2 linked regions of the Xenopus tropicalis genome follow. The protein of the gene in region 1 purifies or fractionates together with the protein of each later gene. This does not show direct contact. Links are inferred from orthologs where the notes say so. Each region holds a gene or a part of one and is shown in the gene's direction. Other genes may lie near its edges. The genes, in order: mrps27 and noa1.

The links.
Region 2: the proteins of mrps27 (region 1) and noa1 purify together in Homo sapiens (co-immunoprecipitation; 3 studies listed by BioGRID and IntAct, counting the BioPlex papers as one, with this or other methods). This does not show direct contact. The link is inferred for Xenopus tropicalis from reciprocal best matches to the Homo sapiens genes MRPS27 and NOA1.

What each region holds. Positions count from the first base shown.
Region 1 is NC_030677.2:182,822,625-182,838,152, reverse strand, and holds the end of mrps27 (28S ribosomal protein S27, mitochondrial), read left to right. Parts: intron 1-5,433; coding exon 5,434-5,580; intron 5,581-7,473; coding exon 7,474-7,719; 3' UTR 7,720-8,431; downstream 8,432-15,528. UniProt on the Homo sapiens protein: RNA-binding component of the mitochondrial small ribosomal subunit (mt-SSU) that plays a role in mitochondrial protein synthesis. Stimulates mitochondrial mRNA translation of subunit components of the mitochondrial electron transport chain.
Region 2 is NC_030677.2:91,931,467-91,948,322, reverse strand, and holds the end of noa1 (nitric oxide-associated protein 1), read left to right. Parts: intron 1-3,303; coding exon 3,304-3,420; intron 3,421-7,851; coding exon 7,852-7,969; intron 7,970-9,583; coding exon 9,584-9,774; 3' UTR 9,775-9,869; downstream 9,870-16,856. UniProt on the Homo sapiens protein: Involved in regulation of mitochondrial protein translation and respiration. Plays a role in mitochondria-mediated cell death. May act as a scaffolding protein or stabilizer of respiratory chain supercomplexes. Binds GTP.

The sequences.
Region 1 (15,528 bases):
GCACTGCTGCTGAAACAACACTCAGTTTCTAACACTCAAAATCGACACAGTACACAACTTCAGATGCAACACTCAATTTGGAACAGAAGGCATGAAGGACTGATGGGCACTGAGTGCAACTATATGGAAATGCTGAGCGTATTTGGAACTTTAATCTTTAATGACCTTTGGACCTTTAATGCAAGTGGTTTTAGAGCCAACTCACTGTGGGGAAATGCGCAAATTGTCTACTGTGTCTGTAGACATAAATGAGCCCACATTTATTTTTTTTTTGTCATAATTATACCAGTTAGAATATGTTGTAGGACTTGCTCACCATTTTGACAGCAGCCCCGGTGGGCCCTGCACCCCCCAGTCGGACCCTGGCTGCATGAATCCATATTGGTGGCAAACCAATCATACTGGGTTTATTAAATGTTGAAATGATTTTTAGCAGGTTTAATGTTTGGTAATTTAAATTTTAGAAAGATCCCAGAAACCAGGTCCCAGGCATTGTGTCACTGTATGTACTGCCTGCCCTATGCTGCCTCTGTGTGCCATACACTGCCTGCCCTATGCTGCCTGTGTGTGCCATACTCTGCCTGCCCCATGCTGCCTGTGTGTGCCATACTCTGCCTGCCCTATGCTACCTGTGTGTGCCATACTCTGCCTGCCCGATGCTGCCTGTGTGTGCCATACTCTGCCTGCCCGATGCTACCTCTATGGGCCATACTCTGCCTTCCCTGTGCTGCCTGTGTGTGCCATATTCTGCCTGCCCTGTGCTGCCTGTGTGTGCCATACTCTGCCTGCCCTGTGCTGCCTGTGTGTGCCATACTTTGCCTGCCCTATGCTGCCTGTGTGCCATATGCTGCCTGCCCTATGCTGCTTGTGGGAGGGTTTGTTCTGGGAATTTGTTAGCATTTGGAAATAGTTTTTAGGGGGTCCCTAAGGTATGTAATTATGTGCTGGGGGTTGCTGTGCTATCCCCAGAGGAGGCATATATATTTAAGGGAATGTCTTAATATGATATTATAAACCTCTTTGACATATGAATGAAGGGTGATATCCCTGCAGTGAAAATGTGGGATTTTGCTGCGCTACCAGACTTAATGTGGGTATGGTTTTAAAAGCTTCATAACATGGGTTGAAGTGGGTGCAGTTTAAAAAAGGGGAGTGATCAAAATTGGCTTCCATTATTGTTCCTCCACCATGTAGGACAGAAAAATTCCGGCCCTCGGTACCAGAGAAGTTAAACAGCACTGATCTAATCCATCAACCTTAAAGGAACAGTAACACCAAAAAATTAAAGATCTTTAAAGTAATAAAAATAAAATGCACTGTTGCCCTGCACTGGTAAAACTGGTGTGTTTGCTACAGTAACCCTACTATAATTTATATAATAAGCTGCTGTGTAGCCACGGGGGCAGCCATTCAAGCTGGAAAAAGGAGAAAAGGCACAGGTTACATAGCAGATAACAGATAAACTCTGTAGAGTACAATAGTGTTTTATCTGTTATCTGCTATGTGCCTGTGCCTTTTCTCCTTTGAATGGCTGCCCCCATGGCTACATAGCAGCTTATTTATATAAATTATAGTAGCCTTTCTGAAGCAAACACACAACTTTTACCAGTGCAGGGCAGCAGCACATTATATTTTAGTTACTTTTATACACTTTCAGTTACTGTTCCTTTAAGAGAATCTATAATGAGTGCTGTAATGTGATTATTCCACTGTGAATCTTTTTCTAATGCTGCAGAAAGCAGCACTAACGGAAAATAAACTTTTAATATTTTAACGTGTCACAACTTAAAACAAAGTTCATTTTTGTGCTCAAGTAAAAAATATGCAAATGTGCTTCAGTAAAGAAAAATTCATATCATTTTGTCAACAGTATAATCCAGTCCAATATCCATGTCAAATTAAATCTATATTTGGCCTAGATTAACTGCTGAAATATAAATTCTGTGTAATACATTGTCAGGAAAGTTATTAAATGTCACCCTGAGCCGTGTGCAAGGGCTTTATTGTCCCGAGCCATTTCCTGCTAATTGAGAAAATCACATGAGCATTTATTAACCAAACTGGCACTTGCACATCTTTACATAGCTCATTTACAGAGTTAGAAGGAAGGACCAGCATAAATATTAGGGATCTGCTGTTTTCTTCGGTTCACATTTAATTGCTCATCCTTTAAAATCAATAGGATAATGTTTTAATTTGCCTGTGCACCAGACCCCCTAAACAGGCTTCGCCATAAAGCAAACTATAGCTAAAGCTTGCAGGATGAATTTGGTGACACTGAAGATTAAAGGGGACCTGTCACCTTAAGAAATTATTCCAAATTGTTTTCTATTGTGTTTGTCAAGAAAAATAAACTTTACTTACACTATATAAATTATTTTAATCTTATTTTCTTCAGCCTTGGAATTCACAATTGCAGCAAGCAGGCAGGAGCCATTTTGTGGGCACTGTTATCAAAGCAGGCATTGCATCCTGCCAATATCTTGTTTCTGTGCCAGTATGGGGGGTCCTGATGCCCATGTCCATGCAATGGTTACAAAATGACATGGTGAGGAGGGAGGGGGAATGTGAGGAGGGAAGCAACATCTAAGAAGTTCTGAATTGAAAGTGAAAGTAACTCTCTGCCCCACCTCTATGCCTAAGGCATAGAGGCGGGACAGGCAATATATGATTGACAGCTGGGATTTTTAATTGCCTTTATAATGGATATGGATGTGGTAATAAAAAAATGAATTTGGGTTTCATGTTTAATTCGAAAAGGGCTTTTATTATACAGCTTTTTATGTCTGGGTGACAGGTCCACTTTAAGGTGCTCACTGGTGATTCAGCTGCGTATTATATATATATATATATATATATATATATATATATATATATATACACACATTTATTATGGGTAGTGGTAACACAACATGTTTAGGGTCAATACCCTTTATCAAGTGCACTATATATATATATATATATATATATATATATATATATATATATAATATATTTATTAGTGGGCTGTAGAAATAACATAGGTGTTGCTTGTGAAACCCTCTAATTACATTATTGTCTTAAACCTGACAGCGATGTACTCAGGTCTGGTAACCTAAAGCAGCTTCTATGGTTGTTAACTTTCTGTGTATGTAAACCCAGACAATGTTTAAAGGAGACAAGAAAAACAAGGACATGTCATTGACTTTACCGTTGTTACATTGATGGGCATTGCAATAATCTTAAAGGGCAGGGCAGTTTTGTGAGGGAGTTTGCCAGGTCAGGGAGGCCCAATAGCAGTGCAGAACTTATTGAGTAGCACTTCTACCTTGCAGCGCTGGGGTCTGAGTTCAGGGCGATATCTGCAAGGAGTTTGTATGTTCTCCTCATGTCTGTCTGGGTTTCCTCCAGATACTCCAGATTCCACCCACACTCCAAAAACAAACAGGCAGGTAAAGAGGTAGGTAAATCGTTAAGTTAGTATGAATAAATGCGATAAGGACCTTAGATTGTAAGCTCTTCTGGGCCTGAGACTGTGAATGATGTTTAATCACTGTACAGCACTGCATAAATGTGTTGGCACTATATAAATAGTAATTTCTATAAATGTAAACTCTGTTTTTTGTCTGTAATTCAAAACTGTGAAACCTGGACAGACACTTATGTAAACATCTGATTGGTTTGGTGGGTGTGGTGATTAGCGAAGTAAATATTTTGGGTATAGGTGGGACAGAGACATAAGTGCAAGTGGATTAGGAAGAATAGGTAATCGTTTTATCTCTAAAACCCGAAGAAGAGATTTAGAATTGCCATGTGAACTGGATGTGGTTTTCTTGGCAACCCTAAAAGTAAACCATGATTACTTGCAGTCAGAAAGTGTAACCGGTTTGGTTGTTATTGGTTGTTCAGGGTTACTAGACCTGTAGTGTGTTTTTATTATTTTTTTTTCCTTTTTTTCTCCTTTTTTTTTTTGTTAAAATTGTTATTTAATGATTTGTTTTTGAGTTGTGCAGCCTAACCATTTTTTCTGGCTTGTAGCATAACACAGTTTAGGTTAAGGCACAATAATAAACCATTTATATCTAAAATAAATGATTAAATAAAGGCTATTACGCATTCACTGCACTTAAGTGCACTTTTTGTTTTAATAATAGTGATAGCTCCCCTTTTTGAGCAAGTACAGAATGAATGACTGATATCCGGGTTGTTGTAGTAGAACCTGCCTGCAAGACTTCATATTTATGGCCAAACCATGTGTGTTCGGCTGCCAGGAGTCTCTAGTTTAGTAAAGTGGAAAAAATCAGGTGCTTTATTCGGGCATAGCCACTTCCCTACCCGTTTATTTCATCTCTTTTACCCACGAGCGCACAAAACCTCTTTAGATTTGTCACATTGCACTGCACCTTGTGCCATAAAAGAGAAAAGACTGTTGTATTTTTATCTCGCTTTGGTCGACCTTTGCTATCACTCTTTAGGTTAATGGCAGTGGAAGGGAAGTGCATTAACTTTATAGATTTGTCTATAACATTTTTGGTACTGAAGCTACTGCTCTAATTGCATTATATAACTGTATAGATTCAAACTCTCTGTATTCAAAATAACAGCATTAACCCATTTTTAGTGTTTTAGTGTTATGGATGTCCTGCTGCTTGATTTAGCTTCAGTATGGAGAAATCAAATTTATATCTGTAGAGATGTGATGGGAGTTAAATAGTCTTGTTCACAGCATTACTGATCTGCAGGGATATCATTATTTTCCTCGCTCTGGGTCTGTGGTCATATTTTCAAACATTTCAGCACAAAGTTAAAAAACCATGATGGTTTCCACCCATTTTTTTGCACTTTGCACCCTGCACTACACCCCACAAAAGTTTCCGATTTGCTCTGCCCTAACACAAATGTGAAGAGATCTTTTTGACAGCTTACACAGCTGGAGTTAGAAAAAGAGGGTGGGGGTCTAGTAATGCAGGAATTATAGAGTCCCCATCTGGAGGTAGAAAAGAACAACTTAAAGCATCACCCAACAGAAGTTCATATATGCCAACATTTGATTTGTTTCCATAACACCCCTAGGTTTACTCAAATTCAGCCCAAATTCCAAGTCCCATAGCCTTTGGAGTCCATAATTCAGGACTGTCTCTTGAAAAGCTGGACCACTGGGAGATTCAGATTCAGTGACTTCACAAGGGTGTAGTTTGGACATTCCTACTATTTTGACATAATGTATGTCTTCTGTAAGTTATATCTACTAGCCCCTTTATAAGCCCCAGTGACTGCAAACTGATTGGCTCAATAATTTTGTCAAGGGCTTATTGCTACCCCTGGCTTAGCTGCCACTGTAGGGAAGCTCTGAGAGCAACTATCATTGCTTATCTGCATGTTCAGCCGCTTGTAATGATTGTATCCCAAATGTGTATATTTCATGGATGAAATAAAGATTATTTCATTTTTTAGATTGACATTCTTAAAGAATCCTTAGACTTTGCAATTGCCCAACATTTGGAGAAAAAGTCTAAAGCATCAGGAGAGGAGCCTATGGAGCCAGAGGATCCAGAGAAGACAGAGGCAGACGTCCTGCCAGAATACCTGCATAGATTCCAGGTGAGATTGCAACATACAAATGATTGGTTTCTGTTTTACCTCCCAGGGCAAAGTAGTTGTGTCAGCTGTTCCTAGCATGTTTGATTGTAAGCTGTTGTGGGCTCATCTGTAACCCTTGTTTGTTAAATAATAAGATTTGCTGGTGCTTAATAGATAAATGATGATGATTGAGGGCTACTGTGAGCAATTCCATTTTTCTCTTGCTTTTTGTGTTTTAACACAAGGCAACAATTCATTTTTTTCCTCCATGTTTCCAAGCCCAAGTTGTCTATATCTTACTTACAGTAAGCAGTACTAGAACAGTACTCCCACTCTTCAGGAGCTGGGAGTTGTATTTAAAGGGGATTGAAACCCATACAAAAATGTATGTAAATTACTCAAAATGATTCTGTGAGGACTTTTGCAGTTTGTATTAGTTTTCTATTTTTAGTGGTTTTATTTGTAGAATGTAGTATTAGAATACAAATTTTAGATTGTCAATACCAGACATTAAGCTCAACACCTTTCTGTCACCTTGATTATACAGGAAGTCCATAGATAGTTTGGGTCTATGGCAATCTAATATTCATAAAGACTGTTGCTCTGAAAGCTTTTTATTAGTCTAAAACTGCTAATATCTAAAATAAAAAATGGATGCAAACTGCAGAAGTGAAGTTGACATCAATTCATTTTTTGGGGTTTAGAATAACTGAAGTTTACTGATAAAAATGCTTATTGTTGCTGTCTTTCCTTACCATATTTCCTACCTGCAGCTGCTGCTCTGTGGGGCCCTATTATATTTGAAAACATAGACAGCATCCATGTTTGCTGCCCCATAAATGCCTTTATTTGTGAACAGGACTTCTTTCCATTTATCTAGAAAAGGATATATATATATAGGATAGAAAAGGTCTAATAAAATATTAATAATAGTAAAAAGTAGAGTCTAATTGGATTCTCTGTGCTCGGAATCTTGACTAGCTGAATGGAGACTGCTTTATTACTTGCTTCATTGTTTCATTTTTCAGCAGAAAAATAACAGTTGGGATTCCATTTAAAAAAAAAAAAAATCTGAAATTCCCTGTATATAAATGCCACACCTGCCCTATATAGGTACTGGTAGGGTGGTCCGTGTAGTCAGTTAGTTTGGTTTATTGCTTGCTTTGATTGTTTCCCTGAATATTTTATGTTGATCTAGAAGCTGGCGCCTGTGTTTGTAATGAGCAGAAAAATAGCTCACAAAGGCATCTGCGGCTGTTCTTGTTTATGTACCATTTCTGGGCATTCAGTTCAGCCTAAATCTGTATCCCCATTGTGGCTCTCATACTCCCCAGGGTAGCCTGTTTTCTAGTCACCTGACTGTAAGAAATAGTGCTTATTAAAGGGCCAGCAACATCAGGAAATAAGTCTCTATTATCTGAAGTTCTATTTACACAACAGGCCATATGATGTAAAAGGGACAGGTGAATTCTTAGTGATATTGACTCTAAAAAACTACTCTTGATATACATTAAAAGTTACCTGTAGGGCATGGTGATAGTTTTTTTACTATTAGCTCTGCTTTTGTAAGTAATTGTTACTTGACGTTCCTAAACCTGACTGTCCTTTCTCAATCTGTCAGTTATAGCTTCTAATGGCCTACTGCTGCACAAATATGGCAGCCCCCTCATAGAGGAACATGGGGATAGGTAATGAAAAAGCACAGGGCAAATACTTATAAATTGCAAAATTATATGTTATGATAGATGTAAAAAAAGGTTTGATTTCTGGTATCAGTATCTCTTTAATGATACAGTAAGTCACAATGCAGATGAAAGGAAGTACGCAATGTTCATGTGTACACAGTAGTATTGTTTGGCCTATTACTAATGTAAAACATTCTGCCCATTTTATTTCTTCTTGTCTCTCTATTAGGAGCTGAGTGCAAAGCTGGACTCTCTGAGTAAAATTGCAACTGATGGCCTTCAGAACCTGACCACAAAACTTGTCCAAGAGATTCTTCCAGACTGTGAGAAGAGTGATGTTGAAAGATATGAAAAGCAACTCAGAGAATGGCAAGAGGAGCGAGTGCAGCTGACTGCCAGGGAGAAAGAGATGAGAGAAAAGGCAAAAGAAGAATTTGAGGCCAGGCAAGCTGCTACTTCGGCTACTGCTGTATGATACTATATGGGAACTGGGTTCTCCTTTGAGATGTAGAGAAAATCCTTCTTAAATAGCCCTAAGAAGATGTCTGGTCACAAATGTACCCTTATTAAATGTTGTCAGATTTAGAGCATAACATTTGTCAAGCTGCCCTTGTTAGGTGGTGTTTGGCTAATTGCAGCATGTAGCACTGCTGATACTGTGGCTCTGTATATATCTGATACTTTGCACAGGTTATTTGCAGGTTGTCTATAGAGAATTCCTCAGCCAAGGAAGACAGTATGGTACCTCCCATTCAGTAGTGTAAATGCTAACATGCAGAGAAGTGTTCTGTACCCAGAATAATCTACTCTATAAACCCATAATTTGCTGTCTGTTTAAGGGAGAATACATGATAATATAGTGTACAAATATATTACATGTTTCCTTCATGTTCAATATGAGGCAGTGCCTTGCCTAAATACATTCATCTGTAGTTTCCCTTTAATATCTTCCTCTGGCTGCTAATTTATTTGTATTTTCATTATTTTTTTCATTTTCATCTTTATACATTTTGTATGATTTGATCATTCAGCTGAAATATCTAGGTCTACAAGACAAAATTGGTGTTTTATATGAGATTAATGACTTGTCCCCACTGGGAAATGATCTGTGCTGTCTGAAATGCTAATGGATTGTAATTCCGTTTTTTTCTTCGTTTTTTTTAAAGGATTAAAGCATTTACAACATAGATTGTTTCATTTAATGTTGGCTAAATAAACTTCAAATCACTACTGCACATACAAATGTTAAAATGAATAGATCTAAAATTAGGCAAGTGGTTAGAAATTACTTGTACTTTCCATTAACCCCTTCCCACTAGTGAGCAATATGGCCGTTCCCGCCTGAGCTGTTATTGCTTTATTGTGTGTGTATAAGTGCAGGATGTTTCCAGGATCATTGCATACAAGTATTTACATAGCCATAGCTCACTGAGAGATCCAACATAAATAAAATTCCTGTTCCTGCTGAAAGCCTCTTCTAATTTGTGTGAATGGAACAGATGAAATGGAAGTCCATCAAGTTCTACCCCTTCTAATGAACCCAATGCAGACATATATGCATACACTCATACCAACCTATCTATACACTCGCATATATCATCTATACATACCAATACCTATACTAATTGTAGATTTTATTATCACAATAGCCTTGAGAATTATGCATGTCCAAGAACTCATCCAGGCCCCTCTGAAAGGCAATAACAGAATCTGCCATCACAACACCACCCAGCAGGGCATTCCCCAACCTCACTGCCCTCAATGTGAAGAACCACCTACACGGCTTTAAATGAAACTTCTGTTCCTCTCATCTAAAGGGGTGGGTTGGTCTTTTTTTTATGGGGAAAAAGGTTCCCCCGCTATCTTTCTATAATCATTCGTTTGGTGATGTTGCCAAGCAAGCAGAATTCTGTGACAATCAAAAAAAAAAAATGCACCTGGGCAGTAATCCACAGCAACAAATAACTGATTAGCTCTGTTCTGATTAGATCTGTTGGGTTACCGCAATTATGCAAATGTTCCCATTGTTGACAACACACAGGGCTACTAGTAGCAGCTACTTGTCAGGGCTACTGAAATAGACAAAGCTGATAATTTGCTGATAATTGTCTCTACGTGTGTTTTAGGAGAGGCGATTGTCAGTATTGTCTATGGCAGGGGATTTTCTGGTGTTTAGTAGATGTAAAAAGTAGCTGCTACTGGTAGCCCAGTGTGTCTTTACCTTAAAACCTTCAGATGTTCAATTAAAGTGTATGAGAAAAGGCTGAAAGTGATTAAACTGTAATATGTTGAAAGGAGAACTTTGATGGAAAAATAATATAGGCTTCATCTAATGGAGATAAGAATCTTTCTAAATATAATCAAACCTTTTGTACTGTTTCTGAAATCTACTTACCCTCCACTCTTCCATTCTCTGCAATCTCTTTCTCTACTTTCAGCTTTGTTCTAGGGGTCATTTATAAAGGCTAGGTAAATTTGCATGTGGGCAGTATCCTATGGCAACCAACCAGAGGTTTGCTACTGGCAGCTGGCTGAAAAAAAGCTAATCACTGATTGGTTGCTATGGGATTACAGCCCAGGTGCAAATTTGTCCAGTGTTTATAAATGAGCCCTAATTAGCTCTAATACATTATTTAGGCAAGTACAGCATACACCAATGTATTTGTCCTAACTGTCCATTAAAATCTGACTCCTCCTCAAAGGGAGAGGTTGCCCCAATCCCCTTTTCCTGTGGACCTACTCACTGGGTAACTAGAAATGTTAGCTATAGATCACCACCAAGCCTAGTTCATATACTGACCTGTGATGCAAAAATCTGTGGCTATGGGTATAAAATGACAGAAAGGAGGCATACCACATGCTAGAATACCCTCTAGAAACCCCCGCAGAGACTACTAAAGAGAAACTGTATCAGCGTCCCAATTAAAAGATTGCAAAAGGCATAGGAAATCATTTACTTGGCATAGGTGCTGATACAGTTGTTCACATTTTGTACCCTGTGTTGAAATTGCAGGAAGATCCTTTATCTGGAAACCCCCCAGCTCCCTGGCATTTCAGATAATAGACCCCATACAGGTATGGGATCTGTTATCCAGAAAGCTCTGAATTATGGGAAGACCATCTCCAAACTCCATTTTAATTATTATATATAATATCCTTATTGGAGGCAAGACAATCCTATTAGGTTAAGTTAATGTTTAAATGATTGTTTAGTAAGGAGATCCAAATTACAAAAAGATCTCATCTGGAAAACCCAAGGTCTTCAGCATTCTGGATAACGGGTCCCATACCTGTACCTGTATAATGCAAATTCTCAGAATATTACTGTGTGCTTCATACTAAAAGGTAATAGAAAGGTGAATGACCCCTTTATCCCCCTGCATATGAATTCATTCTGCTGTTTTTAAGAAATGCACACAATGATATCACAACACAGAAATATTTCTACATTTGTTTCTCTTTTATTGTGGAATTGAGTTTGTTTCTTTTACATCAAATATCCTCAGTGGAAGTGGGGTATTGCACACAAATATCATAAAAGCACTACATATTTACTTCACTGGAAACTAATGGTCTACATTAGATATGAATTGATAGAGTAGAGGTGATGCGAGATTATAAGACATAATACCATACACAGCTGCAGACTGACACTAACACCATTCAGAACGAGAGAGGAATGTGAGAAGCTTCCCCGCCAGCCCCAGACTGGGTCTCTCCCACGAGTGGAAGGCAGACGGCTGCATGCATAAGTGTTAAAGCAATAGTTCTTAGCTGCTATTGGTTCCTTGAGTAACACAGCCCAGTCTCAAGTGAATGTTACTTGTGGCTCTGTAGCGTTTCCTGTGAGCCTGAAGCTATATTAGTGCAGAGAAGCTTTAGGAATTCCTTTTCCCTTCCTTTGTTTTGTCATTTCCTTCTGTCCAAAGTCATATCCAGATTGCAGAGACCAAAGACCATGAAATCAATGTGTCATAGAGTCTGTGAAATGAGTTTATTCTGTTTTTTTCTTTTCTATTATTTTACTTGGCTGGTAAGATTAAAAAAAGATGAAAGTCCGTGATTCATTTTTCTCCTCCAAGGGCTGATCCTTTTGCTTTCTCAACAGATCCGGATGTGTGTAATATTTGGCATGTACCTAAGGCAGCCGATGGTATTTCGAATAGAAGAAAACACAGCCTTTCAAGTGCTAAGATGTGAATATGACCGTGTTTATTGGCCAACATTATTTCTTTTATATGTCTATTTATTATAAATTTAAACCTATTCAGCACAGATTTCCAATTTATGGCCCTCAAGTTATTGATTAAATACAAGTCCCATCATCACTAGGCAGCTTAGTGGTGTTGGGAACTGTAGTTCAGCAACATTGCTCGTTTCTCCTATTCCTAAGCTCAGCACATCTACAGTACAGAAAGCTTTTTAATTCTAGATCTTTTCTGCTGAAGGAAATCAAATTAGTCAATCTGGAATGTCAATGACAATATTGCGAGGCCTATATTTGTGTTCTAGGCTCAACCTGTACCCAATGTACTGAACCTCTAGGACTATGTGTATTTAGAATACATTGTATGAATCTGCTTTACTTTAATGTTGTATAATACACAAGAGCCTTCAATAACCTGTAAAATATAATTTTACAAACAGTGCTAAGTGATGTTATTTGTGTCACATTTAATGTATCTGTTATATAAAATAATGTAGCACCTATTGTAATATATGAGAATATTAAAGATCCATGACCTGCTTCTTCATCCTTTCATATGGTCATGGAATTTTCAAGTTCCATTTTCTGTATCCTTATACTTTACAATAGGGGGTACATTATCTCTTATATACGGATAGACAGCCTGTGGTTCTCCAGCTGTTGATTGTCTCCAACTCCTCTCATAATTGCAGTAGCTTGTGAAGATGAGGGGATGTCGCCCGTATGTAGAGACCTCAGAAGACCTGCTAGGGTTACAATTCAGGTATCATCCATAAAGGAGTTCTGCAGTACTGCTATATTCCCCCATGGGCACAGTTCTATGCTTTTATTTGGAATCTATGCCCAACCCGCTACCAGTACTGTCAATATTTTTAGAAAATCCGAAATAAATGGGAGTGAAAGAATCATAACATCAGGAGTGTTCTAATATTTGATCTATCACTGGTCCCCAGTCAATGTTTTATATATTTACGCCTGTACCAAATTTGTTGAGTTGGCACATTTTGTAAAAAAAAAATAATTATTGATCTGTTCTTGCTCAAGTTGCGTTGCCATGTAGATCACTAAATAACAAGTGAAATACTATCCTAATCATGCTCATTCCCCCCAAGAAATGGTAATGCCATACACTGTGTTATAAGATTATTTTGCTTAAAGTTTCCATCAGTTCTAGTACACCATAGCAATGAATCAGAAGGTAGCACTTACTGGCCTGCTGTTATGGAAGCTAACACCTGATTGGTTGCTATGGGTTATCAGACTGGAGCATGCTTTATTCCATAAGCCTTCATGGCCCTAGATGTACCAGTCAGAGCTAAGGCTATCACTTCTAATTTCCCAATGTAATGTCCCAGTAATTCTATATAGAGTACTTTTTGTTGTCAGGGCCTAATACAGGGGTGGACACCCCATAGGCCTCCAGTTGATGTTGACTTTCAACTTCCAGCACCCCAACATCTTGGGGCTGGTAGCTTGCCAACACTTGAGGCAATGGTTGCCTTTGTCAGGTTCAATCCATGGTGCTAACAATTTCAGTAAAATTGTCCTCCTTCATCATATTGTTTTATGGTAAAATAAATTGGCAAAACTCTTTTATTTAATTACTCAAGGCAACAAAAAATGACTTATTTTGCATTGTTTTCCTTAACATGCAAGTGTTTAATTTAGTGTGAGCAACAAATATCCCCTCTCTGTAAACTCTACCATACAGGTTGCCCTTTAAACCTCATTCCCAATAGGAACAATGCTAGCAGCCCTGTCTATTGAGAATGGATAAGACATGTAAGCAATATGGCAGCTTCTGTATGTGTAAAAGTACAGACATGCAGAGAAGGAATGGTGCACACAAGAAAATATGCCCTTTACAGGCTATTTAAGTCTTTATCATAGAATATCCCCCCTTTAATGTTTCCTGCAATGATTTAAACCAAAAGAAATTTGTAAACAAAACACAATTCATAGTTGGCAGGGGAGGATAAAACAAGCGCTCCGGATATATCGGCAGCATCATTATATACCCACAATGCTATTGGAAGAGTAGTAGAGGGATTAGTGTTTATGAATAGATGCCACATATACAAGTACAATAAAAACAAATGTTCAAATGAAATACAACATAAGAATGAAAGTAAAATATCAGCTAAACTTGGCAGAGCACATGCAGAGATCCGGTGAGCATTATGCATGCGTTTACTTTTAGCCACGCCCACAGTGCACTATGCATGTGATATATCCAAGTTTTGGACTGGCACGGACATAACAAGGCACAGAATCGTTCTTCTGCAGCCCAAAATGGGGACACGGATCTAATAAAAAGTACACCAAACAGCCTTAGTGAGTCCCTGGGGGGACATGTGGCAATTGACCCAAAATAATGCTTGCAACTTCATATAAATACCAAAGCAATAAATATCATTGCTTATAAACAAAATGATTTACGTGGATCACATAAATTATTAAAGTGTCATCATTCACAGCATTAAATGGACCGAACAAGTCCAAAAAAATAGTACCAAAATTCATTGACATTCAGTGCAAAAAAAAAATATTTCAAATAGTGTAAACTCCAGAAATAAGTATAATGCATCAATTAAAAAAAATACACAAATATAGGTCATGTTCTAAACCCCATGCTCTTTAAATTGATGGTAATTTTACTGTTACACATGCCCAGAAAGTTTTATTCCTCAGCCAGATTATCAATGATCTGTTTTGCCCTGCAGTCCCTCCTGGTACCCTGCAGTGCTTGCATTACAGTGGCTTAACAAGAGGTTTAAGGGCCCAGTCTATATCTGGATCACCACCAGAAAGCTCTTCTGCTCTGTCCCTGTGTTATGGGCCTGGTTGGTTTCCATAAAAAGTACAACCATAGATTCACTTAATTCATTTAACATGAAATCATTCTGGCCAGTGTTCTAATTGTTAGTATTTACTTCACTACAAGCTCTTAAAAACTTGCTTTCATATTCCTTTATAGCCAATATCGTGTTCAGCAAGAGACATTCATCAACACATCACAGAGTGGCTAAAACAAAAAAAAAATGTAAAAAATAGTATTTGCTTGAAACCTGAAAACTTACATAAAACTACCTACATCGATTTTAAAAAGAACTGTACATTTGTTCCTACATTTTGTAAAACCAATGAATCACGCGTAAGAGGAAGAGTAAAGCACGACCAATAAAAATCATTGCCGCTCATTAAAGTTCCCGAAGCCTTGGCACAACCTCCCATCATGGTGTTCCCCATTAGATAAACCCTTCCTTGCACGCACACACTTTCCCAGCTAAAATCTCCCACACTGCAGTTGTCTTGTACACTTGCCGTCAAAACATTTAAAAATAAGTGCATCGAGTTATCTTTATACATTCAAGTCACTTTCTAAGGCAAATTGTTCAACGCATGTACTTCTGAATGCTTTGGTATTTCGCTCCTGTGTATGCACTGCAAAATCGACAGTGCGGAAAGAAAGGGGTTATTTTGGAACTGGTTGAATGAGTAAAGTGACAAGTCCGTATGCATCAGGATTTGTATTTTTGTCTTCAGGGATTGGTTGTTTACAACTGCATGCCTAACGCTAGTATTGCAGTTTCTGATCCAGATAGAAGTGGGGTTCCTTATCAAACCAGGTTTGGTGTGTTCTGTAGACTGCATGATGCACACCCAGCCTGGAACAGTGATGTTAGATCTTTACATAGATTTGGTGACAAAAAGGCTTTTTGAACAAAGGCTGTCATGCATGAGAAACCAAAACGCTGCCATGATGTCACCCATCAAACTGCAGCATAAACAATTCATAGGGGCATCATCATCAAAAGAGAAATAACATTTACTTGTATTAGTGCTGACACCAAGTCCTGTGCTTAAGCCTTCTCTTCTTTCTCATTTACTTTCTGTCCTGAAGGAAGCTCTTATTCTGGGCTTTAAAGAAAATATAATGTGCAAGAGCATTTTTACAGACCTGTATTTTATACCTGGATAAGTGACCTTGCAGTGATTTGAACCCTGTGTAGGAAGCATTGCAATTTGCCATAGAGATGAGTGGAGATATTACAGTCATCCGTGTCAGCATGGATA
Region 2 (16,856 bases), about 91 Mb from region 1:
TTGAGAGTAGATTTTGGTATAGGTTTGAAGTAAGCTTAACTGGGTTGTTAGACTGTAAGATTTCCTCCGCTGTTAAAGAAATGAGCTGAGGGGTAAGAGTGGCAAATTGGTCCCTGAATACTGATCGCAGCTGCAAATATTTATAAAAGGGGAGACTAGGTTGTTGAGCTTTATCTCAGATCTGCAGATATGTTGGGAAGGTTGAGTGTTCCATAAGATCTCCCAAGTATTTAATATCATGGCGGGGCCAATATATGAAATTGTGTAGTGTCCTACATTGTGGTAAATATCGGTTGCCTCAGAGTGGAAGCCTAGACGTAAGTAAGGGTGGCAGGTGTTTGAATAGTGTAAGTGCAATGGTCCAGGCTTTATGCGGAATAGTTAAAGTTGTTGGCAGTGGGGCTGTATCTTTAAGGTGCTGGTAAGGAAAGTTGCGTAATCCTTCCAGGGAGCCAAGTATTGTTGCCTGGAGCTGCAGATTTGGATTGTAGGGGTCATGAATGAAGCACCAGTGTAGGTAGTGTATTTGTGAAGCTAAGAAGTAATGGTAAGAGTGGGGGAGGGCTAGGCCTCCTTCGGCTAGTGGAGCGCATAGTTTTGTCCAGGCCATTCTGGGGGGTCGATTGTTCCAAATAAATGGTAGGATAATCTGGTTAAGTTTCTTAAAGAAGGTTTTAGGGATAAAGATTGGGGCATTGTGCAGTATGTATAAAAATTTGGGAAGGTATATCATTTTTACTATATTTATGCGGCCCCAGAGTGTAAGTGGTAACTTGGACCATTGGGTCAGTCGGGCTTTGAAATCTGACAGCAAGGGGTCTAGGTTAAGTGGTATATAGTTAGTAGGATCTGTAGTTATCCAGACTCCTAAGTATTTAAATTGATTGGTCCATTTTAAAGGTATATTGGGTATTACTGGTTGTGGTTGAAGAGGATCTATAGGGCAAAGGATTGATTTATCCCAGTTGATTCGCAGACTGGAGTAGTGTCCAAATTTGTCCACTTGCTGCAGTAGAGAGCTCTGGGATCTGCAAGGTATATTAGCAAATCATCTGCATATAGCGATAATTTTTCGTGGATATTACCATATGTAAGGCCTCTAATCTCCGGTGAGTTCCTAATCAGTATGGCTAGAGGCTCTATTGCTAGAGCAAATAATATTGGTGAGAGCGGACAGCCTTGGCGAGTCCCCCTTTCCAGTGAGAATGGGGGAGATGTAATCCCATTTACTCTGACTCTTGCTGTGGGATGCTGGTATAGTAACTTGATCCACTTTAAGAATGTTTGGCCAAAGCCGAAGCCGGACAAGACCTCCCATAGGTATCCCCATTCAATTGAATCAAAGGCTTTGGCTGAGTCTAGGGAGGCAACAACTCTGGTATCGGTCTCTAAGTGAGGGATTTGTAGATTGGTAAAGAGCCTTCTTAAATTAATATCAGTGGATCTCCCGGGCATAAAGCCTGATTGATCCGGGTGGACCAGGTCGGGAACCACCCTTTGGAGCCTTGTCGCCAGAATTTTGGCCAAAATTTTGGTGTCTGTGTTAATTAGGGAGATGGGGCGGTATGAGGAACAGAGGGATGGATCTTTGCCCGGCTTCGGAATGACCACTATTAACGCCTCCGCAAAGGATGCAGGTAGGGCTTGATTGTCATAGGCATATTGTAGAGTTTCTAGCAGTTTAGAGGGGATGTATTCAGCTAGTACCTTATACCAGTTGGAAGGTAATCCATCCGGGCCTGGTGTCTTATTTGAGGGGTGGGTGGCAATTGCCTCGGCAACCTCTTGCTTTGTGATCGGGGCATCTAAATATGCCTTATCTGGTGGGGCTATTTGTGGAATGGGTATGCTTGCTAGGTACTGTGCTAGTTGTGTCGCAGAGTAGGTGGTTGTGTATAAGTTCTTGTAGTAGGAGGCAAACTGCTGTGCAATGTTCTTGGATTCTGTGGTAAGCGTGCCGTCATCTTGGCGAATGTGGGGGATCGCTGTAGAGTTGTTTTGGGGTTTGGAGAGGTAGGCTAGTATCTTGCTATTCTTGTCCCCCTGCTCAAAAACGCGCTGATTCTGGTATAGCACTGTCAACCATAGGCAATAGGTCGGCTGAGGCAAATGCCAGATCAATTCTAGATAGGGACCTGTGAGTAAGTGAGTGACAGGAGTAGATTCTCGCTGTGGGGTTTTTCCATCTCCAAAGGTGAAGAGCGTCTGCCCATCCCGCAAGTCTAGTAGATGTATTGGGTTCTGGTTTGGATCTATCTAGGGAGGTATTCATGCAATTATTAAAGTCTCCCATGATGATAAATGGACTTATGGGGAACTCTGCCAGTTTAGAGACAATTTGATTTAAAACGGACATAGCAAACGGCGGCGGCAAATATATATTAATAATTGTTAGGGGTTTGTGAGCTAGGAGACCATGAAGAATCATGAATCTACCATAGTAATCTGTATGTAGCTTGATTAATTCGAATGGCACCCCTTTGCGTATTAGCACTGAGACTCCTCTGGAGTAGGAGGAGTAGGTAGAGTGATAGTGCCATCCCACCCAGGGTTTTTTAAGTGCTAGAATTTTTTGGCCCGTAAGGTTGGTCTCCTGGAGTAGGAGGATAGAGGGAGGGTATCTCTTTAGGTAGGTAAACATAAGGCTCCTTTTTAAATTTTGAATTAAGGCCTCTTATATTCCAAGAGGTCACTGAAATTTTAGCCATATTGCATTGGGTTTAGATTGGTGCCGCTGTGAGCGATGTCCGTCATTATTTTGTGTTTGCAAAGGAGTATCTTATAGACTTGTAAGACCTGAATAGTGATAATATAGACAGATAAAAAACATAACATTCCCAACCAAAATTCCCTATCCCACCCTACCCACCTTCCCAACTTAGGCGGGTCTTGTACCCAAAACTGTAGTATGCTATTCCCACTGTATTTAACCTTTACTTTTATAATATTGTTATTAATGCCATTGAATCTTTTTTCATTTAAAATAATAAGGGCTTTCCATACAGTTACCTGTAGTCCAGTGGTGCTCATGGCAGCTTTTTGCCACTCTGTGACACTCCATAATTTAAGATGGGTTCTCTTAGGTGATGCATTCATTTTAAATGTTTAGAAATAGTATTCACAAATAAATGTCAGAGAATTCATAGCAAATGTCTCTCTAAAATTATCCAAATCACCATGCCCATTGCATCATTCAAACTTGGTTATTTTAAGTACAAAGATTATTTATTTTTTTCAATGTCCATTATTTACTAAAGCATCTGATTTAAAATAATCACGCCAATGTGAATTTTCTGTTTTCAGGGTGAAAGGCCAGCATGGTTTTCTGTTATTGCTTCCAACTTGCTTCCGGTTCACATAACCAGCCTTGACAAAGCAGATGACATATACACAAAGCATGCTGGTGGAACATTACTTGGTGTAAGGCTGTTCCTATGTATATTTTGTAACTTTATTATTGTAGACAGTAAAGAAAATGTCATCAGTATATCAGTGTATCCAGTCTTTCATTCATACCCCAGCAATTGTTAACTTCTAAGAATTCTAAATCAGAGAGCTGCTATACAAAAAGCTTAATAATTCAAAAATCACACACAAAAATACAAAATAAAGATCAGTGGGGAAAAAAAAGTCATGATACTAATATTTTATTTAATGGTGAACTACCTCTTTGAGAGACAATATACCAGAAGAATTTTGTATGGAAGTCGTTTCTTGGAAGGGCATATACACACTTGCCACAGACTGCCACAGATAGTAATGGCATAATAGTAGATATAGTAATTAGATACTAATGGTATTTTATTATCTCTGCAGCAAGAGAACAGACAACCACAGAGTGTATGTTTTATGATTTTATGGTTAATAGCTGTTCTGGGTATGAGAGCAAAAGGGGTGGATTTTATTTCTGTAATTTTACCCATTTTATATATTTCAGTTACACATCACTGTTGTGCCTGTATTACATTTATTGTACAGAGGCTAGTGGAGCTGGGATTGTTTTGACTGTGTTAATTGAATTCTGCATTGTTCTTGTATACTTGTTAGTCCACATAAGCTCCAAGTTAAACCACATACAAGGTATTTGGGATAACTCGGAGGTAAAGAAGTTAATAGGATAAAAAAGAACGGCATTTAAGAAATGCAAGTCAGGGGAAAAAAGCAGCATTTAATGAATATAAACACACAGCAATCCGAAAGGCAAAGATAGAATTTTTGGGGTTAGTTTTAGCCTCTGCCGCAATGCACTCCTCATTTTCCAAGTGTACATTAATAGTAAAAAACTGGCTACAGGATCAGGTGGTTGTTAATGGTACAATTCTCTACTTGGAGTAAGGTTTTCAGTGGGGTTCCCCAGGGTTCTGTACTAGGTCCACTTTCGTTTAACTTCAGTTCATTAATGTCTTAGGGGAGGGTATTATAAGTAATGTATCAGTGTTTGCAGATGACACAAAACTCTGCAGCCCAATCAGATCCATCCAGGATGTGGCATCCTTACTCTAGGATCTTGACAAATTTGCAATCTTGGCGGCTATGTGGCAGATGAGATTTAATGTGGATAAAAGGTCATGCACCTGGGATGTAAAAATATGCAAGCCACTTATAACCTTAATGGGACTGCACTTGGCAAATCCATAATGGAGAAGGACCTTAGAGTTCTTGTAGATAATAAACTTGGATGTAGCAAGCAATGCCAGGCAGCAGCTGCAAAGGCAAACCAATGTTTTGAGCTGTATTAAAAGGGGCATCGATTCGCAGAAGGAGGGGTTGCAGAGCGCTGCTAAGACCCCATCTAGAGCATTAGAGAGGGTCTAGAGAAGGGCATCTAAGGGTATGGAAAGTCTTAGTTATGAAGAAAGACTGGCCAAGTTAGGGTTGTTGGAGAAGAGGCGCTTAAGGGGTGATATAATAACTATGTATAAATATATAAGGGGATCATATAATAATATCTCTAATGCTTTATTTACCAGTAGGTTCTTCCAACTAACAAGGGCACCCATTTTGATTAGAAGAATGGAGGTTCCGTCAAAATATTTGGAAAGGATTTTTTTTTTACTGTGAGAGCTGTGAAGTTGTGGAATTCTCTCCCTGAATCAGTTGTACAATTGTATAAGCTGACACACAGATAGCTTCAAGAAGGGGTTGGATGGCTTTTTAGCAAGTGAGGAAATACAGGGGTATGGGTGATAGCGCTTAGTACAAGTTGATCCAGGGACTGGTCCGATTGCCATCTTGGAGTCAGGAAGAAATTTTTTCCCCCTCTGCGGCAAAAATTAGAGAGGTTTCGGATGGGTTTTTTTTTTTTTGCCTTCCTCTGGACCAACTAGCAGTTAGGCATGTCATATATAGGCATTAAGGTTGAAGTTTATGGAGGTATGTCTTTTTTCAACCTAACTTACTTTGTTGTTTTTGTCCATAAAAAATTTTGTATGAATTTTTTATTTCATTCCTTCTGTCAACAAAATTTACCAATTTACCAATTATTGTTACTTTGTTACATATTGTTGCTCTTGAACATTGAAAACATTGTTTCCCCCTCTAAGGGGTTTAATTGTGCATTTATGGAAATTCACGATGAATGGCTTAAAACCTTTACTTAAAAGTAAGATGAACTTTTGTTTCTCTATGTTGAAATACTGCAGAATTTCACATTTCAGTTCCCCGCAGTGTGAGACATTTTGTAAACATTCTGTGATCTATTATTTTAGGGGCATTTACTGGGAGGGGGGGGGGTTAGTTTAGGTAGGAAAGCTATATATTGTGTTTTTTCAGGAGAACCTGAGCTTTCTAAATCTGGTTTTTGTGTATTTCCACTTCTGGAACAAGATTTAGAGCTCTAAATACAAAAAAAAGAAAAATTTATATTTTTTTTATATATAGGTATTTATGGACACATTCTTTTGATTTGCAAAGCCTTATGTCTCCCAAACATGCCAGTACCTGATATGTATAGTTTTATGGAGATTTCTGACTTCTATAGATCAAAAACTCCCAGCAAGTAAGTAGTAGAATAGAGTCTAAAACAACTGGACTTTTGTGAGTTTATCTTGATAAGTTTCACCACTCATCCAAGTGGCTTCTTCAGTTCAGTTCAAATGACTGGTAGGGAATTCCCTGGCATTTAAACCCTTGAGGGGTTTCTACTAGATATTGTATATCATGAACTGGATGAATGAGAATCTTCATAGACATAGTAAATTACTATAGACCGTAAATTACCACATTTTCAAAGCATTACAGCAGAATACGGTGTACTTTAGATTCCAATAAGTCAAAAATCCTGGAACATTAAGTTTACCCCAGGAAACCATATATTTTTGAAAAACACACATTTTGCTTTTCTGAATTTAGCAGTTTCTATAAAAAATTATGAAAATTCTAAAAAATCACCTCAAAGCTTTCACTTTCAAGCATTATATCTCCCACATAACATTAGGTACCAAGAAAATATAACGTAAATATGAAAGCCAAGGGTCTACTGAAGAGTTTGATCCCCATTGTACGTAAGATCACTAAAGTATCTGGCATTTACGGACCCCAAAAGGAAGTTAGGGCATACATATTTCATGGAATATAAATCAGGCTGTGTACTTTTTGGTAGTAAAAATGGTAGAATTGGTAGACCCCAGAAAATACATATTCTGTTGAATGTAAAATGGGTAAATATGTCTTTGTATGGCAAAGCACCAAACAGCATAGCTATGCTAAATGTAGCAATTTTTATGTCATTTCTGAAAATTGTTTCAAAGCTTGCATTTTACCCTATTCTATATCCTACATTTCGTACCATATCGGCATAAAACATTTTAAATATTAATGCCACGCGACTAATAAACAGTTTGATGCCCAATATGCATAGATTTACCAAACTATGTGGCATGTACAGTAGAGATGCACTGAATCCACTCTTTCAGATCAGTCTGAACCCTTCGTAAAGATTTGGCCGAATATCGAACCGAATTATGTTCTGTGCATGTTGTGTGCGTCCGTGTGCAAGTAAGTGTGAGTGCTGTGAATGTGGGAAACCAACCCCCCCCCCCCCAAACACAAATGTGTGTGTGTAATAAGTGTGTATATATGTGACACTAACCTGGGAACAAGCAGGCTGAAAATCTGGAGAAGGAGGCAGAAGGGGACCCAGGAACCAGAGGAGGCCATTTTCTGTCTGATCCAGTGACTGGTGAGGGGGAGCAGAAAGTGCAGGCAACAGCAGGCATGTAGTTTGCACGTGCCTACTGTTGCCTAGGGGCCCCTGGGCGGCCGTGCTCCAGGGGCCACTCATTCCCCACCTCTGCTCAATGCCTAGGGGCTGTGGAGCTAAGGAGCGGCTTTAAAAGCCGCTCCTCCGCCCCAAACCCAGGAGTGCTACAGATTGTAGAATCTACGACCTGTGGCACTTGGGTACTTTTATCCATAGAACGTAGATTCTACGTTTTGCGGCACTTAAAGGGTTGAAAAAAGAAAAGAAAAAAACAAAATAAAAAGTGGCTATGCTAAAACAATCCTGAACTCTTTGGCTACAACAAGGGAAAATAGTATGATATCCATTAACACAGTTAATGTTTCCTTTTCAGATTAATGAAAGGGCCATTGTATAACATTCTGCAACTTTTGTGTGTTAATGATGTCATGGTATTTAAAAGCATTGTGTAAATAGCTATAGCTGTGTAAATTATGAAATTGGCGGGTAGATGAGATGCTTTGCACAGAATAACCCATGCCTTTTTCTTTACTGAATATTTTCTAGAAAAATCAAGTATATGTAAAAAACTGAGTGTGGATTTTCATCTGGCAATGCTATCCATAAATTAATAACATTTCTTGACTTTAACCTTACTTTTCTTTTACTAGGTTCCAATTGGAGGAGAGGAGAGAATGAAAGAGTTTCCCCCCCTTCTTCCACAAGATATTAAACTAAAAGGAATTGGTGCCTCTAGAGCTGTTGCTGATATCAAGCTTTCTACTGCAGGTTATTGACTTAGATTCTTGAAAATTTGCTATTTTTATAAATGAGCCTGCATATTTATAGGTCCTAACAAAGCATCTCTCCCCACTGACTTGAATTTTTAAATCCTTTCTTTTTCATTCTTATTAACTTAATGATTTAATATCCCGTCCCAGTCTGCCAGTTAAAGTAATGGTTTTAATAGTGCTAAATTTGCTTTCCTATAATTTAAAATCTTCTTTAAAGACTAGTGTATATTTGCTTTTTGGTACAAACATGAAATGAGACAATAGTCACTATTGCCATGTGTTCCAGTACTTGAACATTTGTAATGTATTCTGCTTTGTTAAAGATCCAATATAGCATAAATTCTGCTTGGGTCTTCCAAAGTCTATGAAATTAACTGTGCTAGCAGTATTATTGCTCCAACTTTTATCTATATGATATGACATGATTAAAATCCCCCATTAAAAAGACTTGCCCCGGCCTTCTAATCTTTCTTTTTGCATCAAAAGCTGAGCCTCTTCCTCTGAACTTAAATGTAGGGGTTTCAGCTGTGATTCTTCTCCACAACTTCTTTCTTTATACAGCTTCTCCCTTTTAAAATGTCCCCTATCCTTAAGAAACAAGAAATATACATATATTATTTCTCAGTTGTGTGAATAATTCTGTCTTGCTTTAATAATGCAGATCATAAATTTTAATTCAACTGCAGCTCTTTTACCTTTTTACCATCCAAACAGAATAAACATATGTATCTGTATAAAAATTTTTTTTAATTTTGTATATGCAACATATAGTTCTTCCTGCCATATATGATCTACTTAACATGTTTACCATATTTTTTTCCTGCTATGCCCAGAACCACTTTCAAAGAGTTTCTTACTTCTCCTTAACACCAATGACTGGTTAAAAATCTCCTTCAACCTTTTAGCCATCCTCTCCCCCAAAACAGCTGCTCCATCACCATCGATGTGAAGTTCATCCATGGCAAGAGCAGTTCTGGGATAAGTACCAGAGGCCCTACACCCCCTACATTCCCTACACTTTGTCCTTTGAGGGTGTGTCCTAAAGAAATATTTTGCACAGCACATTTTCTGTTAACACAAGTTTCACATTTGCCTGATGCATATCAAAACTGTCCTGTGCTACGTTTTGCAATGTGAAATTGATTATTACAAGTGATCTGATAGATATATGGTACTGGCTACTGGTACTGGATTAGGTAGTCTGTAGCTGCTGTAAAAGCATACACTGGTCTCTAGAGCCCAGCACAATACACTGATCATCTTCAGATAGAATGCATCCTATGTAATAGGCCTTCTGATCAGGGGTGTTGTTGCCAGGAGTCGAAATAAAGATTTTCAAGTGCTATTGCACTCTCGGCACTGTGTAACTGATTGTTACAGGAGCTGTTTTATTAAAACAGGCTTTTAAATAATTTCTTCTAGAAAACAGCATATTTTTAAAAATAATTATTTAAAATTTAATTGAAAGGACTTAGGGCTTCTGAGACTGAAAATGTCAGTCTTACTGCCTATAATGCTATTATCACTTGCTTATACATGCTGTGTTTATTTTTTCAAGGGTATGAAATATTCAAAATACATGATCACGTGATCTCCTTTTCTTTTTTAGGCTGGATTGCGGTTACAGCTCACTCAGGAGAACAACTTCATTTGAGGTGCTTTACCCCAAAAGGAACATCATTAACAATTCGTCAGCCTCCACTTTTGCCGCTAGTTGTTAACATTAAAGGAGAGAGGCTTAGAAAGGGGCCAGCCTACGCAACTAAAAAGCCTCCCTGTCTTGTCCAAAATTTGAAATAGGCTTAGATTTAGACCATGAACTGAGACTATAGGGTTATGACAAAGAAGGAGGTTTATCACTATGGTGTTTAAGTAAAGTTGTCCATATATTTAAATTGCCGCTGTATCTGTAGATTGATTTAGATTTTAAAGGAATCACATATCATCACTTTTATAGCCTGCTGTATATTGCTGGATATCCAATATTTAGAAACATTGCTGGATATTCAAACTGCTTTCTTTATGTCATTGGGGGTTACACGTTGTTTCGGAGGGACAGGGGCAATAGAAAAGGAGGAGGAGTGTGTCTGTTTGTTAAGCAAGAATTAAAAGCAAATATTAAGGAGGAAGTGATTGGGGTAACAGAGGGAGCTGAATCCTTATGGGTTGAGCTTCTCACAGATAGAAAAGAATCTACCAAATTAATGGTAGGGGTATGCTATAGACCCCCTAATGTAAGCGAAGAGAAGGAGGCTCAGCTCCTGTTGCAAATAGAAAAGGCTGTTAGTTTGGGGCAAGTGATAAGAATGGGGGATTTTAATTATCCTGATATTGATTGGAGCAATAGTACTGCCAGGACAGTAAATGGGAACAAGTTTAGATACTTCTTGCATGACAACTTTATGTCACAGGTTGTTGAGGAGCCAACCAGGAACCATACTATATAGGATCTAGTGATCTCTAATGACCCAGAACGTTTAACAAATGTGCAAGTGGTTGAACCCCTGGGTAATAGTGACCATAATGTTATTTCATTTGATGTTTGGTGCAGGAAACAAATTTACACTGGGGCAACAAAGACACTGAATTTTAGAAAAGCAAATTTTAGCTCCTTAAGGGCAGCACTTCAGAGCATAGATTGGGGCATTATGTTTTCTGATAAAAACACAGAGCAGAAATGGTTGTCATTTAAAATTATATTAAATCATTATACTGATCCTCAATTTTTCCATTAATAAGAAAAAGTAGAAGTGTTAAAAATTACCCTATGTAGCATTGGGGACAGTAGCTGTGTTTAAAGGACATGTCAACCCCCCCAACCAAAAATTTTTAGCAGTGAAAAGCCTCACAGCATTCTTTATATACCTGCCACTCGGGTCCCTCAAAAGCAAACAGTGAAGTTGCAGCCGATCGCTTGATGTTTCTCTCACTGTAGAGCTCAGTGACTCCCTCTCCCCCCTCCCTTCAGAATCTCCTTGTCTGCCTGGCTTGGTGCACATGCGCACTATCAATCCATTTTAATGAGCCTGCATGTTCGGCAGGGCAACCTATCTGTTGTTTTTAATAAAGCTTGTTAAAAAAAAAAATAATCCAGGCAGGAGGGGCTATGTGCACATGCGCATTTGGAACATATACCGAGCTCTCGATGACGTCACCCGGCAAAATGCCCGCCGGGTGACAGGTGAAACGGCAAGAAAAAGAATGCAGCGATACAGGCTGCAGGAAGAGCTTGAGGGAGTGAAAGTTATGCGTTTGAGGTGGGGGTAAGGTGCCCTTGGCATTAGACCTGACATTAAAGTGAAAGTTGACATCTCCTTTAATGAATATAAAACCTATAACAAGTGTTGTAAAACAGCAATCCGGAAGGCTAAGATAGAAAATGAGGAGCGCATTGCAGCAGAGGCCAAGACTAACACCAAAAGGTTTTTTAAGTATATTAATAGTAAAAAGATGTAGGTTGAGGGATAGGCCCCATTGATTTATAGTAACAATATGGTTACAGTGGATACAGAAAAGGCAGATGTGCCAATTCTTTTCTTCTGTGTATACAGTAGAGGAGCCAGAGTGCCAAGTCCCACCCAATAGCTGCACTGTTGCCTCAGCTCCAACTACGCAGTGGTTGACACAGGATATGGTGCTTAAAGGGTTACACAAGATAAATGTAAACAAGGCACCGGGGCCAGATGGAATACACCCTCGGGTACTGAGAGAGCTAGGGAAAGAATTACAGTGGCCTCTGTTTCTGATATTCTCAGACTCTCTTTCATCAGGTATGGTACCTAGGGTTTTGAAGAAGGCGAATGTCATTCCTATATTTAAAAAGGGAGTAAGATCTCAGCCTGGCAATTATAGGCCTGTAAGTTTGACATCCATGGTGGGCAAGTTATTTGAAGGCTTGTTAAGGAATCACATACAAAATTATGTATTGGAGAATGGCATTATGAAGGACAGGTCATGTCAGACCAATTTAATTGCTTTTTATGATGAGATGGGTAAGTAGCTGGACAGTGAGGATGCAGTAGATATAATCGATTTGGATTTAGCCAAAGCATTTGATACTGTTCCCCACAAGCGACTACTTTCTAAACTAAGGTCTGTTGGTCTTAGTGAAGTCGTTTGCACATGGATAGAAAACTGGCTACAGGATTGGGTACAGAGGGTGGTTGTTAATGGTACATTCTCTACTTGGAGTAAGGTTCTCAGTGGGGTACCTCAGGGTTCTGTACTGGGTCCACTTTTGTTTAACTTGTTCATAAATGACTTAGGGGAGGGTATTATAAGCAATGTATCTGTGTTTGCAGATTACACAAAACTCTGCAGACCAGTCAATTCTATCCACTAGGCAAATCCATAATGGAGAAGGACCTTGGAGTCCTTGTAGATAATAAACTTGGCTGTAGCAAGCAATGCCAGGCAGCAGCTGCTGCACGGGCAAACAAGGTTTGGAGGTATTAAAAGGGGTATAGATTCACAGGGGAAGGATGTTATTCTTCCCCTTTACAGAGCGCTGGTAAGGCCCCATCTAGAATATGCTGTTCAGTTTTGGTCTCCAGTGCTCAAACGGGACATTATTGAATTAGAGAGGGTCCAGAGAAGGGCAACTAAGCTGGTAAAGGGTATGGAAAGTCTCAGTTATGAAGAAAGACTGGCCAAGTAGGTTCTGTTTACACTGGAGAAGAGGCGCTTAAGAGGTGACATGATAACTACAGTGTATGTATTACTTTTTAAAAAACTCGAAGCACTTGAATTCCACTATCTAACTATAAAGGGCTATTAGTGATCAACTCCCTATGAGTGTTTGAACCCTTTCCCTGCCATCACGTAGATTTCTATATTGTCATTAAAGGAAAAGTAACACTAAAAATTTTTAAGTAAAAAAATCTATTCTACCCTGCCCCAATAATTGCCCTATCCTGCAAACCACTTAGTATTTTGAATGCTTTATTAGAAAATACCTAATTAAACTGGGCTTCCGGTCATTTGAAGTAAGGCAATAACGCCAAAGGAAGGAGCAGCATCCACTATGCGACGGTCGATTGATTGATCAAGCCTAGCCTTCCTTCTGTATAGGAAGGAGTCAGGCTAGGCTCAATCGATTGTTACAGTGGATGCTGCTCCTACCTTTAATGGTGTCGACATCCTGCTGGCTGCCAGGCTGTTCCCAGACCTGCATGCAAGGAACAGAGCATATGACAGGAAAATTATTAATTGTACAGAACATTTTAAGGCTATATTGATCCCTTGATCTTAACATTTAATGAAGGGCCCAAATAACACAACTATACCCAAGGAAACTATACCCCTGAACATTGTGGGTCTCACTAAAAATATATCCCATATAACAGCCCATGTTTGAACTCTGCTTCATCTAACTATTTTTATGTTTTAGCAAATACTTAGTCACACATAATAGACAAACATAACTGCTTGACTACTATCACATGCTTTTTCTGAATAATGAACACATTGGACGGTATAAGGCCTTTAAAGCTGCATGGGAGGCTGGCTATCGTAGATTAACTGTGCTGGCAGACAGATATTAGTTCAGGTATCACTGGGCAGAAAAACCTACCAGCTGTTGAGTTACTGGCTAGCTGTTTCATGTCCTCCTTTGGGCATCTGTGGCTCTGCAGCAGTATACGTAGGAGCGCAGGTCCCCAGAATGCTTGACAGATTCTCCTCTGTTGCTTTAAACAAGGGGTGGCCCTTCTGTGCAGCTTACTGACACAATGTTAAATTAATATAAAATTAAATTAAAAAATGATTAATTGCCAATGTTGCAGTCATTTTAAACAGTTGAAGTTTTTCCTTCAGCTCTAGGCCTGTGCAAAGGGGGGCAGAGATTAGGGTAGGGAAGTGACCATCTGTATATGTATGTATGTATGTGTAACTTTATTTAAGTGCCACAAGGGTAGGCAGCGCTGTACAATGTTACAAAATTACACACAAGGAGGACAAGTTTTATAACAAATACAATAAATAAGTTGAAATACACAGGGAATAAGAGCCATGTGGTATGAGACACAGTAGGAAGGAAGTCCCTGCCCCGTGGAGCTTACAATCTAAGTGATTGGGTAACATACAGGCACAAATTGGAAGGTAAGGACTAGGCAAAATAATGTTTTGGTGCTCCGGAAGGTAGCATCTGCATTTTATCTTAAAGAGAGTGGGTGAGTGTTCCCTACGGAGGGATTCAGGGATAGAGTTCCAGAGGTCTCTATCTGCTAGGAAGTGTAACAAAAATAGGTCTAATCCTTTACCTGTTCAATTGTAAGCTTAAATTTACAAGTTATGAGACATTGTTTTATGACCATTTACAGACAGTTGGTTAAGGTTCTCTGAATAAGGTCACTGCAGGAGTGTGCATGCATATTAAAAAAAAAAAAAGCCTGACAACCTCCTTCAGAGGAATGCAACTCGGAAGGACTGTCAGGGAGGGCTTTGCCAGGAGGGAGGCACATGCTAGGAGTCAATACTGATGATGTCTTGTCGCCGACAATGCACATTTGGATACTGGCTGTACAGGACTGAAAACAGTGTGGTTGAGGAGGTAGTTTAAGCTATTTAAAAAAACAAACCTTCATTCTTTTTTATTTTACACTTTGCCACCTAGAAATCAAAAGACAGAGAACACTATTACTGGTGACAGTTCTCCTTTAATAAAACACATTGTTTGCCTAGGAGCAGTAACCCATAGCAATCAATCAGCAGGAAGCAGTTACTGGCTACCTGTTTAAAAGCAAACATTTTATTGGTTGCTATGGGTTTTTGCTCCTGAGTAAATTAAGTCCTTTTTTAGTGCATATGGGGTCTTCTGTTTTAAGAAAGAGATATCCATGTTGCCCGGATTAAAATAAATAAATAAATAAATAAATAATAGGACCATAAAAGATGACCAAACATAAACCTGGAAAAGTTTGCCTAGTTGCTATGGTAAATAAGACTATTGTAACCAAATAGCTTCTGTTGGTAAATAAAATAACGAAAAAAAAACAGAAAAGGCAAATTGAAAAATTGTCAAAAGGCAGATTTCGGATACATGGGCAGATTTCGGCTGCCATTTCGGGGTCCATTAGACCAATTTGGCAGCTTACCTGCACATGTATTGGCACCCCTCCATTAGGCAGGTTTGATTTTCCTGTCGTATTGGGGACCGCATCAGCTTGTTGATTCGGTTTGAAGTCAGCCGTTTGCCCTAGGGCCAAATTAGCCTGATATTGCCTACCTTAGGTGGGCATATTAGGAGAAGATCAGCTCCTTTGGTGACCTTGCCAAACGAGTGGATTGTAACGTGTGGCCAGGTTGAAAGGTTGAAAAAAGACACGTCCATCAAGCTCAACCTTAAAGGAGATGTAAACCCTGCTGCACAGCACTGCTCAACAAAACTATACTCAGTTGTTGCTGGACTACAAATCCCAGAATAATTTAACATATAATGAAGGTAGAGGCATGCTTGGGAGCTATAGTCCAGCAACACTAGGGTTGTATTCTTAAAAACTGTCCCTATCGCAAACCCCAACCTAGAAGAGCAGCGCACCAACGTACCTGGGCTCCATCTTCCATTCAATCGTAGAAGCTTTGGGTCTCACCGCCGATGCGGATACTGCTTGAGCATGCGCAGTTGGGGCTATCAGGAAATCAGCTTCAACTGCTCTTTTGGGTTGGGGTTTGCAGCAGGGACAGTCTTTTAAGTTACAGAGTATGAGATAAGGGAGAGGTGAGGGGGGTCGATGCAGGCCATTTTTATAGCTTGGGGGGTGGGGGTGTAGTTCAGTTTCTCAGCACTGAACAAGTCTGTCCTGTATCCCCATGTCTGATTCCCGTGTCATATAATGAAGGGAAAAATGACATAATTATCTCTATATGTAAGATACGGGCTAAGCAGTACGGGTTAGCCCGTACTGGATACTGTTCTTCTGACTGCCCCTCAGCATGTTTCTCAACTCTGTCCCCAGGCTCCACAGGGGGAGCTAGCTCCTGGAGTTCCTCCTCTCTGCTACCCATCTCCCATAAAGCAGGTGCCCCTGAACCTTCAGGTAAGGCAGGGCTACTCCTCCATAGTGGATACAGGTTCCACATCTCCATTTGACCCTGACCCTCTGGGTAACTTGCTCGCATTGGTGGCCCCACTTGCACCTCAGTTGGTAATGCCCATCAAATAATCGGGGGTCCCACAGGCGATGAAGTTTGAGCCTTCTCGGACTCCATTCCCTGTGTCAACAGCCTTGTCCTGCTCTCCGGTACAGGGTAGAAAACACATCATTTGAGTTGGTCTCGGTGTACCCGCTTATACTTCCCCTGATCCCACTCTGGCTCCACCAGATAGATTCTGATGTGGTTGAGCAATCACTACATCCGGATCAGGTTACCATTTTGGCCACAGCTTAGAACCTCGCTGTGCCTTTGGGTTCCGCATCAACACACGATCCCCCTTCTTTAATGGTGCTGGGTCCACTCGTGGTACCTCTTTGTGGGCCTCCTGCAACCGCTTAGCAAACACCCGTATCCACTGCTCTGGGCTGCGTCCCACAGGGGCCTCAGGTGCTGGTGGCAACCAAGCCTGCCTGCCTACCAAACAGCAAGAAGAAGGGGGTAAACCCTGTGGTGGCATGCACTGTGTTGTAGGTCCATACCACACTGAGCAAAACTTCTCGCTACCTCTCATGATACTCCTCTCCCAAAGTTTTCAACAGGTTCAGCAATGTTTGATTGAAACGCTCACATATCCCGTTACCTTGGGGGTGGTAGGGGGTAGTGCGGGACTTTCGCAGAGTTCAGTAATTAGCTGAGACTCAAAATTCGGGCCTTGATCTGACAAAACCTGCTGAGGACAACCATATGGTCTTATTACATGAGTCCACATCAACTTAGCTGTGGTCTGG